Linked DNA regions of Yarrowia lipolytica. The protein of the gene in region 1 purifies or fractionates together with the protein of each later gene. This does not show direct contact. Links are inferred from orthologs where the notes say so. Each region holds a gene or a part of one and is shown on either strand. Other genes may lie near its edges. The genes, in order: YALI1_C15021g, YALI1_D26394g, YALI1_A13100g and YALI1_B23609g.

Region 1 (7,818 bases):
CTCACGTGGCTGTCCATGGCTGCTACCACTAGTGCCAATTCTTTCGCGCTGCCACCATACAATTTCTCCTCCGCAGCTATTGGCAACGTCAACATTGCCCCCTTCGTCGGCATGATCTTCGGATCTGTCTTTGGAGGCTGGTTCAACGACAAGACCATCATATGGCTGTCCAACAGAAACAAAGGCATATACGAGCCGGAGTTTCGACTCTACAGTCTCGTATTTGCCAACTTTTCGCTCACAGTGGGCGTTTTTCTGTTTGGCACATCTCTGGCCAACCGAGTGCATTGGATGGTCCCCACAATCGGCTTTGCCATCATTATGTTCGGATTCGGATCATCAGGAGCCATAGTCGTGACCTACCTGCTCGACTGCTACGACAAGATTGTTGCTGACGCCTTCATTGGCGTGATTGTGGTCAGAAACGGACTGGCCATGGTCATCATCTTCTGTTTGGGTCCATGGGAGGAAAGGATGGGTCTTCAGAACGTGTACATTATGGCCGGCTGTTTCTCGCTCGTTCCGTTGATTCTCACAGTTCCCATGATCATCTGGGGCAAGGAGTTGAGAAGAAAAAGTGGGCCTCGCTATCTCAAGGAGTCTCTTAGGGGTCAGTGATAGATTATTGCATATATTTAGAGCAGGCTGGCACGGGTACAAGTGCTGTACAAGTGAAGTATTGGCAGTTGTGTGACGATTTAGCAAGTCTCCAATGTCGTACAAGTTCTTGAAGTCGGCAATATCACTGGAGTACCAGTCCGTGTGTGTCTATATCCAACCGCTTTAGCAACCCCAAGAAAACTGCTGGTCATTGTGGAAATGTTTCATTTCTTCACCCTCGAAGGGACTCTGAAAGTCCCCCAAACAGTTTCAAAGACTCTTCTTCATCTCCACCTGTTTTAATCAAATAAATCTGAATATTTTCAACATTCCCAGTTTTTTATCTTTTATTCCAAGTTTTTTGTCTTTTATTCCCAGATTAAATCATCCCAATATCCGCTTAGCCTGCAGCAAATTCAAAACACCTTTTTTCCAAACTCAAAAATCATTTCCAATCTACACATTCACATCGCCTGATCAGCTCTAGAGGTTGATACAAGAGTGAGTACGAGCGCGCAAAAGTGGCGCAGATGGAAGTGGCACATTGTTTGGTGGCAGAAGAACCGCCCGGCCACCACACGGCGCCAATGGAGACACCTCAGCAATGACATCAACACCGACCTACATGATATGGACATGGGCTGGATGTGGATACCGAGAGTGCGACGGTGGTTGTGTCATGCGATATAACCAGCCGAGATGCGTGAACGTGCCACGTCATCGATGGGGATATTCGATACTGAGCTGTTTCTGGTTCAGATCATGTCATGTCACATACCATGAAGAGACTCTTGACGACATGGGCACCAGACCATCAGCGTATTTACTACGTGGTTGTGTTTGCCACTCATCAAATTGCCACGTCATTAGTTGTCACACCATCGGTTTGATTCGCTTATGGGGTCCGTTCAGACCTCCTACCCTTGCTTTCGTTTACTAACACAGTGCCACCTGGACTACCACCCCCTCCAGGTCTCAGACCACCAGGGGCGCCACCAGGCTTCCCCACGGGAGCACCACCTCCTCCCGGAGCTCCACCCCCTCCCGGAGCTCCACCTCCTCCGGGAGCTCCTCCAGGTGCACCTCCTCCACCTGCTGAGGACTCACGATCGTCTCTCTTACAAGCCCGAAAGAAGCGATGGCTCAAGCTGCAGAAGCGCAAGTTTGCCGACAAGTCCGGCAAGTCGACGTTTGTGCACTCGTCCAAGGCAGATATGCCTCCGGAGCACCTGCGAAAACTCATCAAGGACCATGGAGATATGAGCTCGCGCAAGTTTGCGTCCGACAAACGAGCTTACCTCGGAGCTCTCAAGTTCATGCCCCACGGTGTGATCAAGCTGCTGGAGAATATGCCCCAGCCCTGGGAGGCCGTTCGAGAGGTGAAGGTGCTGTACCACATTTCTGGTGCCATCACTTTCGTGAACGAGATCCCCCGAGTCGTGCCTCAGGTGTACACAGCCCAATGGGCAACCATGTGGGTGATGATGCGACGAGAAAAACGAGACCGACGACACTTCAAACGAATGCGATTCCCTCCTTTTGACGACGAAGAGCCTCCGATTTCTTGGGCAGAAAACATTCAGGATGTTGAGCCCCCAGAGGGCATTTTGATGGACCTGAGTCCCGTGGATGACTCAGCAGTGGTGGATTGGTTCTACGAGCACAGACCGCTGTTCGAGGACGGACTCAAGGTCAACGGGCCCTCCTACCGGTCGTACAGACTGAGTGTTGAGCAGCTGACCACTCTCTATCGACTTGCCACTCCTCTTCTTCCCGATGTTACCGACCCCAACTACTTTTACCTGTTTGACAAAAAAGCCTTTTACACCGCCAAGGCTCTGAATATGGCAATTCCGGGAGGTCCAAAGTTTGAGCCTCTCTACAAAGACCTGGATCCCGACAATGAGGACTTTGGTGAGTTCAATGCCATCGACAGAATCATTGTGCGAAACATGATCACCACAGAACACAAGGTGGCATTCCCCCATGTGTACAACTCCATGCCTCGAAAGGTGGAACTGGTGACGTACTCGTACCCTCAGGAAGTTGTTGTCAAATCTGAGGATCCTGATCTGCCTCCTTACTACTTTGATCCCAAGTTGGCTCCGATCACGAGGTCGAAGATCGATAATAATGTGGACGTTGATCTCTCCGAAGATCTTGGACCTCTCGCACCTCCCCTGGAGTCTGTTCCTCTTGTCAACGAGCAGCTTTCATCAGCTCTGGCTCTCTACCATGCTCCCAGTCCCTTCGATCGACGTTCCGGTCCTACTGTGCGTGCTCAGGACGTGGCTCTTATCAAGGATTGGTACCTGCAGCATCCTCCCAAGGGCTACCCCATCAAGGTGCGAGTTTCCTACCAGAAGCTACTGAAGTCGTACGTGTTGACGTCTCTGACCTCTCAGTCTACAGTCACTCAAAAGAAGCGTGGATTGCTGAAGTCGTTGAGAAACACAAAGTTTTTCCAGCAGACGGAAATTGACTGGGTGGAAGCTGGTTTACAGCTTTGTCGACAGGGTTTCAACATGCTTAACCTGTTGATTCACAGAAAGGGTCTCACATACCTGCATTTGGACTACAACTTCAATTTGAAGCCTACAAAGACACTTACTACCAAGGAGCGAAAGAAGTCTCGGTTTGGAAATGCCTTCCACCTCATGCGTGAGATTCTGCGAGTGGTTAAAATCCTTGTGGACGCTCAGGTTCAATTCCGACTCGGTAATGTCGACGCCTTCCAGCTGGCCGATGGTATTTACTACACCCTGAACCACCTGGGCCAGCTCACCGGTATTTATCGATACAAGTACAAGGTGATGCACCAGATTCGAACTTGTAAGGATCTGAAGCACGTGGTTTACTACAGGTTCAACGTCGTTATCGGTAAGGGTCCTGGCTGTGGTTTCTGGCAGCCTGCCTGGCGGGTGTGGCTATTTTTCCTCCGTGGAATCATCCCCCTTCTTGAGCGGTGGCTGGGAAACCTTCTGGCGCGTCAGTTTGAGGGTCGTCACTCCAAGGGCGTTGCCAAGACTATCACCAAGCAGCGAGTCGAATCTTCCTACGATCTCGAGCTTCGAGCGTCGGTTCTCAAGGATATTCTGGACATGATTCCTGAGGGTATCAAGGAGGCCAAGACCAAGACTGTTCTGCAGCATCTATCTGAGGCCTGGCGGTGCTGGAAGGCCAACGTGCCGTGGAAGGTGCCTGGTATGCCTGCCCCCATCGAGAACATTATCTTACGTTACGTCAAAGCCAAGGCTGAGGGCTGGATGGCTGCTGCTCACTACAACCGAGAGCGAATCAACCGAGGCGCCACTGTGGACAAGACGCTTGCCAAGAAGAATCTCGGCCGTCTGACTCGTCTGTGGCTCAAGTCCGAGCAGGAGAGACAACAAAACTTCCTGCGAGACGGCCCATACTGGGACGGTAATGACGCACGGGCCATCCAGCAGATGATGGTGAACTGGCTAGAGTCACGAAACTTTTCCACCATCTCCATGCCTCCTGCCAGTTACAAGCACGACACCAAGCTGCTGGTGTTGGCGCTGGAGGGTATGAAGGAGGGCTTCAACTCCAAGGGACGTCTCAACCAGAGCCAGCGAGACGAAATGGCGTACATAGAACAGGCCTATGACAATCCTCATGAGACTCTGCGACAGGTGAAGGAGAACTTTGTGCGTAACGAGGGTTTCAAGGACGTGGGATTGGAGATGATGGATCACTACTCTCACGTGACTCCCGTGTACGACATTGACCCCACCGAGAAGATTGCTGACGCATATCTGGACCAGTATCTGTGGTATGAGGGTGACAAGAATGGCCTCTTCCCCAACTGGATCAAGCCTAGTGATTCGGAAGTGCCTCCCTTGCTCGTGTACAAGTGGTGCCAGGGCATCAACAATCTGGACAACATTTGGAAGACTGACGCTGGAGAATCGACTGTCATGCTGGAGACTTCTCTGAGCAAGATCTGGGAGAAGATTGACTTTACTTTTTTGCAGTATCTGCTCCGGTTGATCATGGACGAGAACTTGGCCAAGTACATCATTGCCAAGAACAACGTCCGGCTCACTTACAAAGACATGTCTCACACCAACAACTATGGTCTTTTGCGAGGTCTGCAGTTCTCGTCGTTTGTGGTTCAGTACTATGGTCTCGTTGCTGACTTGCTCATCCTGGGTCTCACTCGAGCGTCTCAGATGGCTGGTGATCCCAAACGGCCCAACTACTTCATGCAATACCCCTCCGTCGCTGTGGAGACGGACCATCCTATCAGAGCGTACTCTCGGTACATTGACCGAATCCACATCCTCTTCCGGTTTACTAAGGACGAGTCTTCGGATTTGGTTCATCGGTTCTTGACTGAGCACCCGGACCCCAACTTTGAAAACGTGGTTAACTTCCCTACTAAGAAGTGCTGGCCGCGTGACTCTCGAATGCGGCTCATGCGGTCCGACGTGAATCTTGCACGCGCCGCGTTTTGGGAAATTCAGAACCGACTCCCTCGAGCCATGACGTCCATTGAGTGGTCTGAGTCGTTTGTCTCTGTCTACTCCAGCGAAAACCCCAATCTGCTGTTTTCCATGTGCGGTTTTGAGGTTCGAATCCTGCCCAAGTGTCGAACTGTGGCGTCTGTGCCCGTCAAGGACTCTGTCTGGAACCTCACCAACGAGTCTACCAAGGAGCGAACTGCGTATGCTTTCTTGCGCGTCTCTGATGCCGATATTGCGCGGTTCAACAACAGAATTCGACAGATTCTCATGTCGTCTGGTTCCACCACCTTCACGAAGATTGCCAACAAGTGGAACACTGCTCTGATTTCGCTGTTCACGTATTATCGAGAGGCGGCTGTCGCCACTGAGCAGCTTCTGGACACCCTGGTCAAATGCGAGACCAAGATTCAAACTCGTGTCAAGATTGGCCTCAACTCCAAAATGCCAACTCGTTTCCCCCCTGCCGTGTTCTACACCCCCAAGGAGCTTGGTGGTCTGGGTATGTTTTCTGCTTCTCACATTCTGATCCCTGCCAGTGATCTGCGGTGGTCCAAGCAGTCTGATCAGGGCGGCATTACCCACTTCCGAGCTGGTATGACTCATGTTCACGGCGAAGACAAGATCATTCCAAATATTTTCCGGTACTTGACGACCTGGGAGGCAGAGTTCACCGACTCGCAGCGTGTGTGGGCCGAGTATGCGTCCAAACGAGCCGAGGCCAAGGCCGAGAACCGGCGTCTGTCTCTGGAGGATCTAGAGGACTCGTGGGACCGAGGTCTGCCTCGAATCAACACATTGTTCCAGAAGGACAGACATACGCTGGCCTACGATAAGGGTCACCGTGTGCGAACGGAGTTCCGACAGTTCTCCATCCCTAGAGTCAACCCCTTTTGGTGGACGTCTCAGCGTCATGACGGTAAGCTGTGGTCGCTGAATACATACAGAACAGACGTCATCCAGGCACTGGGTGGCATTGAGACGATTCTGGAACACACTCTGTTCAAGGGTACCGGTTTCGACAACTGGGAAGGTCTCTTCTGGGAGAAGGCCGCTGGCTTCGAGGACCAACTCAAGCTCAAGAAGCTGACCAACGCCCAGCGGTCTGGTCTCAACCAGATTCCCAATCGACGCTTCACTCTCTGGTGGTCTCCTACCATCAACCGAGCCAATGTCTACGTTGGTTTCCTGGTACAGCTGGATCTCACGGGTATCTTTTTGCATGGTAAAATCCCCACGCTCAAGATTTCGCTGATTCAGATTTTCCGGGCCCATTTGTGGCAGAAAATCCACGAGTCGGTGGTGCTTGATATCTGTCAGGTGCTTGATCGAGAGCTGGAGACGCTGCAGATTAGTGAGACTCGAAAGGAACAAATTCATCCTCGAAAGTCGTACAAGATGAACTCTTCGTGTGCTGATATTGTGCTCAAGTCGGCCTACAAGTGGAACGTTTGCAAGCCTTCATTGTTGAACGATTCGTCCGACTCCATGGATTTCGCTCAAACGTCCGAGTTCTGGCTGGACGTGCAGCTTCGATACGGAGACTACGACTCGCACGATATCAGTCGGTACACTCGAGCCAAGTTTCTGGAGTACACCACCGACGGAGTGTCTGTCTACCCCTCGCCTGTTGGAGCCATGGTTGGCATTGATCTTGCGTACAACATGTACGACGCCTATGGCAACTGGTTCCCCGGTCTGAAACAGCTCATGCGTCCTGCCATGTCCAAAATCATGCAGGCCAACCCTGCATTGTTTGTGCTGCGAGAACGAATCCGAAAGGGCCTGCAGCTGTATCAGTCGCAGCCGCAGGAAGCGTTCCTCAACTCGCAAAACTACCAGGAGTTATTCAACAACGAGGTGCAGTTCTTCGTGGACGATTCGAACGTCTACCGAGCCGCTGCTCATACCACTTTTGAGGGCAACTTTACCAACAAGCCTCTTAACGGTGCTGTGTTCATTTTGAACCCCAAGACCGGTCAGCTGTTCCTCAAGGTGGTTCACACGTCCACTTGGGCCGGTCAGAAGCGTCTGTCTCAGCTGGCCAAATGGAAGGCGGCCGAAGAGGTGGCTGCTCTGATCCGATCTCTTCCAAAGGAAGAGCAGCCCAAACAGGTGATTGTCACTCGAAAGAGTATTGTTGAGCCGCTGAAGCAGCAGCTGTTTGAGTTCCCCAACACGGTCATCCGGCCGTCGGAGCTCCAGCTGCCGTTCAAGTCTGCTCTGCAGGTGGAGAAGCTCGGAGATCTGATTCTCAAAGCAACTGAGTCGCAGATGGTTATTTTCAATCTCTTTGACGATTGGCTCAAGTCAATTTCCAGTTACACTGCCTTTGCTCGTCTGGTTCTCATTTTGCGAGGTATGCATGTCAACCATGAGAAGACAAAGATCATTCTGCGTCCCGATCACACGGTTGTGACTCTTGACCATCACATGTGGCCTTCCTTCTCAGAAGATCAGTGGGTGCACGTGGAGAATCAGCTGCGAGACATGATTCTCAACGACTACGGCAAGAAGAACAATGTGAACATCCAGTCGCTGACTCAGCACGAGATTCGAGATATTATTCTGGGCCAGGAGATCAAAGCACCTTCTCAAAAGCGTCAGGAGCTGCAGGACATTGAGGAGAACAAGACAGACTCTCAGGTGACTGCACTAAAGACCAAGTCTCAAAACGTGCATGGAGACGAAATGGTGGTGGTAACCACGTCCAACTACGAGCAGCAGGTGT
Region 2 (4,952 bases), on another chromosome or scaffold:
TGACATGTGAATGGTATGAAGACTTGTTCGAGTAGCAGGACATGTTCGAGTAGCAGGACATGTTCAAGTAGTCAGGACATTTTCAGTAATCAGGACATTTTCAGTAATCAGGACATGTTCGAGAAGTCAGGACATGTTCGAGTAATCAGGATATGTTCGGATAATATCGTCCGTTTCGGGAATGATCGCCCTAACATGTCTTACAACTGCTAGACGTGAGATAATGAGGGTAAACATAAGCCACAGTGTACTTGTACTGGCCCGAGTTCATGTTTTTCGAACATAAAAAGGAAACGTTATTTGATGCCGTTCATAAACGATGAACCCCTGTGATTTGAGGAGGCACGGTCGTTTTCAGCATTTTGACCTCAGAATACGGTGCTCCTGGACACAAGGAGTGTGTTGGGCTTATCCGATTTCTCGTATCGTGCGATTTGCGCGAGTTGTGTGGGTTTTTGCCGGCGGCTAAGTCCTCTTCAGAACATGTACACACGAAAATGGCCATGGTGTTGAAGGTAATACCCGGTAAGGTAATACCTGGCTAGTTTCCCCACATAATGATGAAAGTCAACATAGTGATGAGAGGACCAGCTTTGGTCGTAGACGAGAACGTCCAATCCTCTAGATAGTTCTCTGATCTAGAATCTCTTTTGGTGAATGGAGAAAGCACGCACACACCGAAGGGTGTGTGCTACTATCGGAACGTGGTGTCCCTAAAGGGTTGTGAGTTTGTTAATTAACTATATCTAATCAATAATACTTGTCATCAATACATGGACATCACACAAGTCTGTCCGAAGAGAATGAACATTTGACTGGAAGCATGGAAGGCTGTTTTTCGACTGAAGCCGGGTCAGACGGGACTGGGACGAGATGGGGCAAAATATATATATACGGGAATGTGATTAGGAGCACTATGCGACTAAAATGATATATTATACGCTCATTTTAGACCTTGAGAAAGCCGCCATATATTGCACTTTTGGGACAAGTATACTCACGTTGAAAGTATATATATATATATTTCTCTATATATAATAGAATCGCCATTTTAAATCAGAAAGTCAGAATAAATCAAAATATATCGGATTGAATCGGAAAATCAGAACAAAAGACAACAGATATATATTACTTGAGATCGACTTTACTTCGGGTTACTTTCGTGAATACTAATACAAGTAAATAGTGCAAGAAAAAAGACGCTCAAAGGGTAAAATCTCACCTGGTACTTGAACAAGTACAAGTTGTAGCTGAAGGATAGTACGAGTTTCCTTTTGAATTTCATCTTCATCGGGCCCATTTCGCGCCAAAATTAGTTAACATTTTATTTTTTTTTTTTTATTTTATTTATTTATTTTTATTTATTTTTTGACTTCCCAATTATACTTAGGTCACTCCAACTAACACCTAGTAACTCTAACGGCAATTTACCTCATGCAACGATATTGAACTGAAATATTTCCACCGTACATACAGAAATACATTCAAAGCACGAACAGAAGACAGTCAACCGACAACACATAACCAGCAGAGTGATAAAGAACGCGGAACGTGAAAGGAGTCAATCACCGTGAAAGGGCCGAACACGTGAAAAGGGCCGAACACGTGAAAGGAGCCCGAACACGTGACTCGAAGCGTGACCATTCCGATTCTCGATCCCTCCGGAGACGCAGTTATCGTGGCGACAGATCGAGAAGCCCGTCACGATCTCGGTCCAGGTCATATTCTCCATCTCGGTCGCCCCGAAGGAAGCGGCGCCGACACAGAACCAGTCGCAGAAGCCGGAGGTCACGAAGGGAAGGTGATGGACGACGCAAAGATGGCCCTAGAGGCCATGATGACAGAAGCCCCTTGGCCCCTAGGGAGGTGGAGGATGTGACTGTCAAGAGGGAGGATAGCACGAACGACAAGGAAAGTACTCACGACAAGGAAAGTACAAACGACAAGGAACGCAATGTCTCGATGGAGGACAGGAAGGATACTTCTGAGGATGTTGTGGAGGATGTGGAGGAGGGGGATCCTTCTGAAGAGGCACTGGAAAAAAAAGTAAAGAACCCAGAAGATGACTTGGAGGCAGCGGCAGAAGAGCTCAAGAAACTCATGGAGCTAAAGTCTGGAGGCCGATACGTTCCTCCTGCTAAAATCAGAGCGCTTCAGAAGCTGCTGGTCCAGGATAAGACGTCCAAGGAGTTCCAGAAGATCCAGTTTGACAATCTCAAGAAGGCAATCAACTCGCTGGTGAACAAGGTCAGTGCTCAGAACATTCGAGATATTGCGGGGGAGATTTTCACTCATAATCTCATCCGAGGACGTGGGCTGTTCTGTAGAAGTGTCATGACCGCCCAGAGTCTTGCTCTGCCCTATACGCCTGTCTACGCCTGTCTGACGGCCATTGTCAACTCCAAGCTACCTCAGGTTGGCGAGCTGCTTGTGCGACGACTCATTCTGCAATTTCGACGGGGCTACAAGCGTAATCAGAAGGACGTGTGTTTGTCAAGTGTGACGTTTCTGGCGCATTTGTGCAATTACCATGTTGCTCATGAGGTTCTAGTGCTTCAGTTGCTGCATTTGTTGCTTGAGACCCCCACAGATCACTCTGTCGAGGTTGCTGTGGCTTTCATCAAGGAGTCCGGTGCCTTTTTGGCCGAAGTTTCGCCTGCTGCCAACAACGGAGTATTTGAGCGTCTTCGAGCTGTGTTGCATGATGGCGAGCTGGAAAAACGAACGCAGTACATGATCGAGACGCTGTTCCAGATCAGAAAAGACGGCTACGAAAACTACCCTGTGGTTCAAGAAGAACTGGACCTGGTAGACGAGGAGGACTATGTGACACATATGACGGGTTTGGACGACAAGTTTACAGATGATAAGCTGCTCAACTACTTTGTTATGGACCCTGACTACGAGGCCAACGAGGAGAAGTACGATTTGCTGAAAAAGGAGATCCTGGGAGACTCTGACGACGAAGAGGAAGATGATAGTGAAGCCGAGGAAGAGGCAGATGATGAAGAGGAGGAGGAGGAGGATGAAGAGGAGGAGGCTCAAGCCTCTACCTCGGCTGTGCGAGACCTCACGGGTACAGAGCTTGCTACGTTGCGAAAGAAAATTTATCTGACGGTCATGTCGACCATGTCGATCGACGAAATCGTTCACAAGCTTGTCAAGCTGTCTCGAACGGTTATTGAGATCCCTGAGGGTCTCCCCGAAGACCAGGCTCTGATTCTGCGTCTCAAGCGGACCCAGGAGGTGACGAACATGCTTGTGGAGTGTTGTGCTCAAGAGAAGATTTATAACAAAATCTACGGAGGTACAGGAGAGCGGCTTCTGAGACTGTCGCGGGAATGGAGAACCAACTTTGAGAACACCTTTGGGTTCTTTTACTCGGTTATCCACAGATACGAGCCCAATCAGATCAGAAACATTGCCACGTTCTTTGGGTACCTGTTGGCATCAGATTCTCTGTCGTGGAAGGTTTTGGAGGCTGTTTCTCTGACTGAAGAGGACTCGAACCCCTCGAACCGTATCTTTCTCAAGATTATGTTCACCGAGATGCGTCAGGAGCTGGGAATGGATCTGTTGAAGGAGCGACTTTCCAAGTCGTTTGTGCAGCAGTACATTGCCGGTATGTTCCCCAAGACGAATGCTTCTCATGTTCGGTTTGCCATCAACTATTTCACTGCCATTAATCTTGGTCCTTTGACAGATGGTATGCGGGAGATTCTTCCTGGTCTGGTGGAGGAGGAGGAGAGGCTGAAGAAGGAGGAGGAAGAGCAGAAGCGAGAGTACGACAGTTACGATTCATACGACAGTTATGACTCATACGACTCCTACGACTCCTACGACTCCTACGACTCCTACGACTCCTACGATAGTTACGACTCCTACGATAGTTATGACTCCTATGACTCCTATGACTCCTATGACTCAGTGTCTGAGGATGATCGGGGGCGACGACGACGACGAGGTGTAGGAAGTAGAAGGCGGTCGCTAACTCGGTCTCCTGGTTCGCGGTCACGGCCACGATCCCGGCCACGATCCCGGTCACGGTCAAGATCTCTATCTCGGGATAGAACCGGTTCTCCGCCTCGTGGTCGACGGCGGTCTCGATCTTATTCCCGTTCGCCTTCGCGGTCATACTCTCGTTCGAGATCTTATTCCCGATCGCCATCTCCGAGACCTAAATCTAAAGGGGCTAAAGGCCGGAGCAGTTACCGGGCCGCCAGTTATTCGCGGTCGAGATCTCCGGTCAGACGAGTTGGTTATTCTAGAAGCAGGTCTCCAAGCGTGTCTGGAGGTTCCTCTCGAAGTCCTTCTAGAAGTCCTTGTAGAAGCCCCAACAAGGGCCGTGCTCCTACTCCGGAGAAAGGTCTTTCGCCGCCTCGAAAGCGAGTGCGCGCCAGTGATTTGTTCTAACACACGCCCCCCGCACCCCCCGCACCCCCCGCGCCATCAGGTAGATGTAATTGATACTGTATTTTTTTAATTCCTTCTCGTCTCTGTCTGTTTGTTGAATTTTTTCCCTCTCATTTACCCCATTTTCCGCCCGTCCAACCAACAACCGCTTTTTACGGCTACAACCGGGTATTAGCGCATTTCACCTAAAATAAGCTTCCGTTGGCTTAAACAGTTTTGACTCTCTGCGATTGCTAAGCACCATCACGGGGTCCGTGTGTCTCTACAGAAGAGTATATATAGACGGGCGTGTTCCGCAATGATAGGCCACGATCACAAACACACACAGTGAGTATCTTGTGCGCCAATTCTTAAACGCCACCAGCGCCGCCCTCAGACCCTCCGCGCGAACACGGACCTGTCATAGTGCACGTATGTACAGTATGTACTGGCAGGAGAGTGTGTGAACTCAAATGTGACATTTGCCTTTGACTATTGTTCCGGACCCAACAAGAGCAGGGTAAGTCTGCTGCGAGGAGCGCACCTACAGAGACGCATAG
Region 3 (5,000 bases), on another chromosome or scaffold:
AACTAAGACGCCAAATTTAGAGTTTATCAAAAACCCGTTTTATGTGCGTCGATTATGCATGTATTATGCACTCCACCTTGGTCTAAAATGGCAGTTTTCTCCCATCACGCCCCAGAAATGAACATAATGACAAAATAGCAATTATTAGGATGTTTTTAAATCCACCAGTATCTAACGGTGCAAATTATGGTCGTTTTTGGGTCACTTTTGGGGAGTTTCTTGGCAACATTTGTTTTGACACACATTAGGTGGGCTCACAGAAAACACAAGGGGCGTCTGGTGTAGTTGGTTATCACATGCGCTTAGCATGCGCGAGGTCCCCGGTTCGATTCCGGTGTCGTCCATCCACGTGTTCTTCATGTGACTTTTTTGCTCCGGTCGAGTACTTTTCAGTTGTGTCATTGAGCAGGGTATGTACTTTTTGGTTCTGAATACGATGTCCTACGAGCACTACAAAAACTCACAGAAACCCATCCAATCCATTTCATTTACAATTACATACCTATGTTTTATTCCTGCATTGTCTCGTCCTTGTCGTTGGACTCGGCAGCGGGTTCAGCATCCTTGGGCTCGGCAGCGGATTCAGCCTCCTTGGACTCTGCGACCTCAGCCTCCTTGGGCTCGGCAGCGGTTTCAGCCTCCTTGGTCTCCTTTGATTCGACAGCCGAGGTGGCCTCGGTGACACCCTTGGCAGCAGCGTCAGCCATGGGCTGATCCTCTTCAACCTTGGGCTCGGCGATGATCACCTTCTTCCGGGGCACAATGGGTCGAACAGCAAGATACTGGCCGACAATGTCCTTGACATTGGTGGGAACCACTTCGAGAATCTGCTCGTTCTTAATGTAATCAACGTACTTTCGAATGAGCGACTTGGTGACCTGTCGCTTCCACCATCCGAGCTGCTCCGAGTCGGAGTCCTTGACGGCCAGGTACTCGAAAACACTCTTGAAGGGTCCAACGTGATCCTGCACCTCTCCCTCCTGGGCCACCTCATCTAGAGTTCGAATCAGACACTCCCAGCCGTGGTTCTCGGTGAAAACAACATCGCCCGGCGACTCAAACAGCCAGGTGATAATAGCAGCAGGCGAAATGACGTTTTCAAGCAGCAAAAAGTGCAGAACAACGGTTCCTACATGGGGCTGGTTTCGGTAAAACTGCATGACGGTTGTCACGGCAGCAGACTCATCTTCAGCAGACTCAATCACGTGCTGGAGCTGCTGGGCAAGACGGTTAATCCAGTCCTGGGACAGAGACAGTGATCGAGAGCCAACAAAGATGGCGGCTCCGATGACAATGTCCAGTAGGAGCTCTCTGTTGTCGGGGACAGCCTCCTTGATGGAATCAATCACCTCGAGGTATGTCTCGGAGACACCCTGGTCGTACTTGTCCTTGAACACGTCCAACAACTGGTCGGCGACTTCTCTGTACTGGTTCTCAGACTCAATGTACTCGTAGGTTGGCATCAACTCGCCGTCAGTAGGCACAAACACCACAAGTTCGTCGGGGAGAGTCTCCTTGATTCGCGACTCGAATGACAGACGGAGCTCCTTCTTGATGAGCTGCTTGATAAAGACGAGCCGAGGGTCCAGAGGTTCCAGATCGACGTACTCGACCCACTCCTGCCACTTCCAGGTGAATCCAAAGTTGGACAGATGGTGCGAAAACCAGTCCAGGAACCGGTGGATTAGCTCTGTGTCAAACGACCGCAGATTGGCAAACAGGAACCGCACCGCTCGGCCGAAAACAGGGGCAATGGCCTGAGGAGCCATGATACATGCCTCGATGAACAGAGAATGAAAGTACGCAGGCTGTAGAGGAGGCGTGGCGAGCCGAAAAAGCTCTGCCAGGATGGCTTCAGACGCCACGTCTTCCACCTTGAGAGTGGAGATGGGTCTGTCGTCGGCCTTGGCATCCAGAAACTTGCCACTTAGCTTGTCTACCGAGATTCCGGGTCCCGTGAAGGTGCCCTTGTTGAGGAAAAGATCAAGGGTGAACAGCTGCTTGGCGCACTCTTTTCGGTTAAAGTCGAGATTCTGGATGGTGTCTGACAGCATGTCTCTCCACAGCACAGCGTCGTATGACTTGGGGTCTGGAACCGTGTTCATGGCCTCGCCTTCCACGTCAATGGGCATGTAGGCTCGGAAGAAGATTCTGGGGTAAATGTAGTCTGTGGAAGTGGACTCGGCCAGAGTCTCGGGAATAGAAACTGCCGGGAAAACGTGTTTCTGGGTCACCTCCTTGTTCTCCACCACAGGCTCAATCAGTTCTAACACGTTGATGAACGACTTGACGGCCCATCCGTCCTTGGCCACGGAGTTGACTCCCTCGTAGAGGTTGGCCAGGAACAGATCGCACTCGTAGGGCTTGTCGTCGCCGGTGTAGGGCTCGACGATGGGGTTCGACAGGAACTTTTCGATACCGAAATGACCGTTGGCCTTCTCCAGCAGCTGATCACAGGCCTCCACAGACTTGCCCAGAGACACCAAAGTGGATCCGATGTAGGGAAGAGTCAGAAATATGGTGGCGTACAGCTCCTCCACCAGGGGATCACGCGACTCGCTACCCTTGGCCTGGTCCCGCTCAATTGCTCGATCCAACAGTCGATCCAGGAAAACCAGCACTCCTCGTCCCTCCTCAATGGCTCCTTCGAGACAGGCCAAAAGTCGCACGGCTATCTTGACGTGGTTATAGTTGCCCTGCTTGAGCCATCCTTCAATCTTGCTGTGCAGATGCTCCACTGCCAGCTGACCTGCCAGCGAGTTGGAGGAGTTGGCCACGAGAACAATGGCTGCAACCAGCGGTGTTTTGTGGGGCTGCTCCATGATCGTGGCAATGAATGTCTCGAGAACTCCGTTTCGGATCGCCAGGTTGTCCAGATCCTGCGCAAATCCGAATCCCGCCTGAGCAACTCGATTTGTCAGAGACATTCGAGAAGGGTCGCCTATCTCGACAATGTCAAAGTACAGCCGGTCGAAGATCTGGTGCGTGGTCTGCGTGTGTCGCTGCCGTCGCCCGCCGTCATACCCGTCATCGTCATCTCGTCCTCGCTTGTTGTACGACATGATGGTTGTGTGGTTGGTAGATTGGTACAGGACTGTACTTCCACTACTACTATGTAGACAAATAATTAGAGCGCGGGTTAGGGTTGGAGATTTTCCATATAGCTTCAGGGAAGAAAGAGTTGTGTGTTCGATTCCGGATGTTGTTTTAGTGGCAAATTAAAATTATGATTAAAATTATGAAGAAAATATGAAGAAAAAAATTGTGAAAAAAAAAATTGAAAAAAAAATTGAAAAAAAAACTAAAAAAAAATACAAAATGAAAAACTACAGATGATGCACCATGACCAGTATGTACACAAAAAAGTGTTACTTGGATATACACTTGTTGAATGGAAGGGCTTTACCCACTCACTACCCCCCCCCCCCCCCCCCCCCCAAATATTCACACCATTTATATAATTGATAGTCTGTTTACGTGATACATGTTTTCTACCTAAACACGAGATCGATCTTGAACTGCTACAACACACTATCCCATGCTGGGCTTCAAATCCACTTATGCGGAATACCTGGAGTTCAACGATGATCTCAACGCATATCTGTCGACTCTGGGAAATGAGGCGCTGTGGCTGAAGCGGTGCTCGGTGTCTCTGGTGTCCACCCTGGCAGCCCGACATGTCTTGTGTCCCATCAGCGACAACGATACCGACGAGACGCTGATTCGGCTGGCTAGCTTCATGGGAGCCAGCAACAGTGGTGGCCAGAAACAACAAAAACAGTCTTTGCAACCGGCTTCCTCAGCTTCCAAGTTGATACTTGTATCGCGCAAGATCAAAGAGTACATCTTGACCAGGACAGACCCCCAGCTAGGCGACATGCTGAAGGGCATCTCCGAGCCAATCGACATTGCTACGACCATCGAAAAGACCTTCAAACTGCGCCGACGACGCGAGGTGAGGACGCTGTTCTCCGAAACCCTGGACCGAATCAGTACTCTGAGGATCAAACGCGACAAGCGTGGCCTGGCTATTTTCGTGCAACGCAACCTCGACAAGTTTCGACGACTCAATGTGTCCTTACTGGACGGATGCAACGCCCTGCTGAACGTGGACAACATCGAAGAGTTTGAGTGGGTGGGCGAGTACGACTCTCTAGATAGTTTCGAGACCATGTTTGTGCCTGAACACATGGAGACCCAAGAGGAGGCCCCTGTGGCGCCCATGAACGCTCCCACGGAGACATGCGATAAATCTCCACCAACTGATAAACCCTCAGCACCGCAGACATCCATCACCGGCGCCACTTTGGCTGTAGCTGTCTCAGACTCGGACCGGAGTGCTTCGGGAGAACAACCTGCGACTCCTTCTGCTCCTGTTGCTGCTACACAACCGCCCTCGGGTACATCTTTACCACCAATACCAATCGGAGCTCAAACTGCAAGCTCAAGTACAGGCCCAGCTGCATCTTATAGCTCCGCCATACCTCCCCCTAGCAGTGGAGCAGCGTCCTTGTCTCGAAGCAGTACACCTGCTTCCATACCCTCTGCATCACCTGCTCCTCCTCTCGACCCATCTTCCCCCACCTTGTCCCAGGGAACGCCGCCATCCATTCCCCCTGCCCTAGAAGGCGGCAACACTCGTACAATGAATGAAGCTCTCGTCGAGCGAACCATTGCTCTGCGAGAAGCCATACGCAGAAGCAGAATTCCGCCCACAGCTCCCGCAGCCCATGTGCGACCCTCTGCCGCAGTCCCTCCGGGTGCCGACGTGCTCCGTGCTTCCATTGACAACCTCATAAACCGTCGACTGCACTTGGGTACAATCATGAGCAAAACAACAGACCAGACCGAAAAGAAGAAGTTGAAAAAAGAACGCAGACAGATGCATCTTGCCATTCGAGATGCCGAAGAGTTTCTGGACAAGGTCTGCGCTGCTCGTCCAGATACTATGAACCATGCTGTTGACACGATACCCGCGACTACTACCATTGCTGGTCGAA
Region 4 (2,720 bases), on another chromosome or scaffold:
CCCAGAATCTTGCAGATAAAGATGGCCACAGAAATCACTGGTTTGATCCACACGTACTGCAGTACCGCTCGTTTGACGGTCAGAAATTCGTGAGGGTCGGAAATGTTGACCTTTCCAAACAGAGTGTGGAGAGGAGCTCGTCCCTGGGTGGTGAAAATGATGTTTCGTTCGCCGCCGAGCAGATTGGTAAGCAGCGAAAAGAAGGTGTAGAGGGTGAAGGCTTCGTAGATTTCTTTGAGAGCTGATAGCACAATGTTGAAGCGGGCCAGAGGTCTGGAAATCTGGTCCTGGGTCTCCAGAAGAGACAGCCATGACGAGAGCGCAAATAGAGGAACCAGAAACAGAATCCGAATCACCAACCGCTGGTCAGCGGGACGGGTGTATGTGTAGAGTTGTAGGAGAATGGATATTGTCGAGATGAAAATGGCGATAAACGTCGACCATGTCGCCACGTTGATGAGATATTGCGGTAACATTGCGTCACTAGTGTTATGTCACTGTTGTTGTGAGTCCGCTGGATGGGTTGCTGTGATGACTAATACCGTGTTGTAATTGCTGTTGTCTGTGTCGGCGCTGCGTTGCCGTGGTTACCTTTGAATGGGAGGGGGGCGTGTTTTTAACCGGGCTCGGCCGTAACGTCGTGGGGCGGCGTCTGACTACGCCTAGTCTGATCCCGTGATGGTGTAGTGCAGAAGTGTACTTTTTTCTACTGCTGGATAATATAGGGGTTGAGTTTGGGAGTTGGGGGAGGGTGGCGACAAAGTGGAAAAGTAACAATTTGGGGGAGATTTTGATATCATCAGAATCAGAGGAATGGGAAGAGTTTTCAGATATAATTGGATTTTCTATTGGACTATTATTGGGTGTTTTATATGGAGGTTGTGGGGAGAGGGATGGGACTGTAGTTGGGGACCAATAGAGTTACTCACTATTACTTGGAAAATTACTTAAACATTGGGCGCGTGGAATAGTGCTATTAGATAGACGTTCAACAATTGGAAATGTAGCCAAAAAGTGTTGTATATATAACTTCAAATATGAATATCATAGGGCTATCTCTTCAATTCACCCACTGAGTCATGTTCGGTTGCTTTGGGTGGCGAAAACAGCAGAAACAGCAAGTCTAGAAGAAAGAGAGGGAGAGGAAACTGGAACAATCGGACACACTTCAGAGAAGATGTCAACAGCAATGATACCGTCTGTAGCCTCATTTTCTCCTCTTCCACCAATGATTTTGACGTCAGTACCTTATCAGAAATTTTCTGTTGATAATAGCTTCACTGCATGAGAGTCAGGTCCGTCACAACTGGGTATATTTGTATGGGATCAGGTGCTAAAATTCTTACTGTAGCATTACAGTCACTCTAAGAAGATAATGGGCCAAAAATCACTCAAATAGCTCCATTATTGGCTACATTAGATCCACCCCTGTTTTCCCCCTATGTAACTCAAATGCATTTTAGCTGCAGCAAAAAAACCAACCTCCAAAAAATCATCACCACTTTCCAAAACAACCAAAACAGCAAATTCTGATCCGAACCTCAGAAAGCACAAACACGTGACGGACTCGGCGATACCTAAATCACGTGAAACACCATAAGGGAGCCGATCGAAACCCCTGACGCGACACGAAACTCCAACTGCATTTATCGACCATCACATCACATCCACAACGCCACCACCTGGATATTGATCGAAGAGAAAAAGGGGCGCCAGATACCACCTGAAACCTTACTAAGCATCATCAGACACCGCACAAAATGGTGAAAATCCGCACTTCACGATCGAAAGCGCCTCCAGCTGGATTTGACGACATCTCCGATATTCTGCAGGAGTTTGGAGACAAGCTAAAAGACGCCCAAAACGCTCCAACCGAGGGAAAGAAAAAGAACCAGTTGTTATGGGACATTTATCGCATCCATCACCAGCGGTCTCGATATGTCTATGAGTTGTATTACAAGAAGGAGGCCATCACCAAAGAGCTGTATGCATATCTTCTGAAGAAGGGGTATGCCGATCAGAATCTCATTGCCAAGTGGCGAAAGCAGGGATACGAGAATCTCTGCTGTTTGAGGTGCATTCAAGGAAAGGAGAACATTCACGAAGGAACTTGTATCTGTCGGGTTCCTCGAAAGGATATCAAGGATGACAAGCCGGTGGAGTGTGTGACTTGTGGGTGTCGGGGTTGTGCTTCGAGTGATTAATCGACGAGTGAATGAGCAGTGAATCACAGCCACTAGTCGCAGCCTCGAGTCACAGCCATGAGTGAATCAACGAGAGTCCCAAGACTGGGATACAGCATTATCAGGTTTGGCAGCTGCACAACAGCTACCATTGTCTGACTATTGGTACAGGGCTTAGTTACTGAGTATCATGATACAGTCTGTCAAAGTTTGTGCCAGTATCTTTCGCAGCTGGAGGATACGACAGCCAAGTACCACCGACCAACCGACAGACGGATCTCCTTGGGCTCATACCGTCCCGGAGACAATGGGTGAACTCCAAGAGAAGGAAAAAGGATACCGTTAAGACTTTGTAATATAACTTATGGACTGGGGATGATTCCAGTAGAGAACGTATAGGCCCTGGAATATGATGTAGACGACTGTGATGGGAAACATGATCTTTGCCGAGTTTCAATGTTTCAATGTTTCAATGTTTCAATGTTTCAATGTTTCAATGTCTCCACCTGCCCACCTGATTTGCAAGGTGCCATCTCC

What was found.
Region 2: the proteins of YALI1_C15021g (region 1) and YALI1_D26394g purify together in Saccharomyces cerevisiae (affinity purification with mass spectrometry; 3 studies listed by BioGRID). This does not show direct contact. The link is inferred for Yarrowia lipolytica from reciprocal best matches to the Saccharomyces cerevisiae genes PRP8 and CWC22.
Region 3: the proteins of YALI1_C15021g (region 1) and YALI1_A13100g purify together in Saccharomyces cerevisiae (affinity purification with mass spectrometry; 3 studies listed by BioGRID). This does not show direct contact. The link is inferred for Yarrowia lipolytica from reciprocal best matches to the Saccharomyces cerevisiae genes PRP8 and STO1.
Region 4: the proteins of YALI1_C15021g (region 1) and YALI1_B23609g purify together in Saccharomyces cerevisiae (affinity purification with mass spectrometry; 4 studies listed by BioGRID). This does not show direct contact. The link is inferred for Yarrowia lipolytica from reciprocal best matches to the Saccharomyces cerevisiae genes PRP8 and BUD31.

What each region holds. Positions count from the first base shown.
Region 1 is NC_090772.1:1,496,127-1,503,944, reverse strand, and holds the start of YALI1_C15021g (uncharacterized protein), read left to right. Parts: upstream 1-1,814; coding exon 1,815-7,818. Other genes in the region: YALI1_C15048g (uncharacterized protein), read left to right, coding at 1-618. UniProt on the Saccharomyces cerevisiae protein: Functions as a scaffold that mediates the ordered assembly of spliceosomal proteins and snRNAs. Required for association of BRR2 with the spliceosomal U5 snRNP, and the subsequent assembly of the U4/U6-U5 tri-snRNP complex.
Region 2 is NC_090773.1:2,636,421-2,641,372, reverse strand, and holds YALI1_D26394g (uncharacterized protein), read left to right. Parts: upstream 1-1,962; coding exon 1,963-4,413; downstream 4,414-4,952. UniProt on the Saccharomyces cerevisiae protein: May be involved in pre-mRNA splicing.
Region 3 is NC_090770.1:1,308,065-1,313,064, reverse strand, and holds YALI1_A13100g (uncharacterized protein), read right to left. Parts: upstream 3,063-5,000; coding exon 510-3,062; downstream 1-509. Other genes in the region: YALI1_A13095g (uncharacterized protein), read left to right, coding at 3,539-5,000. UniProt on the Saccharomyces cerevisiae protein: Component of the CBC complex, which binds co-transcriptionally to the 5'-cap of pre-mRNAs and is involved in maturation, export and degradation of nuclear mRNAs.
Region 4 is NC_090771.1:2,360,006-2,362,725, reverse strand, and holds YALI1_B23609g (uncharacterized protein), read left to right. Parts: upstream 1-1,760; coding exon 1,761-2,204; downstream 2,205-2,720. Other genes in the region: YALI1_B23622g (uncharacterized protein), read right to left, coding at 1-476; YALI1_B23603g (uncharacterized protein), read left to right, coding at 2,262-2,336, 2,393-2,539. UniProt on the Saccharomyces cerevisiae protein: Involved in pre-mRNA splicing. Important for bud site selection.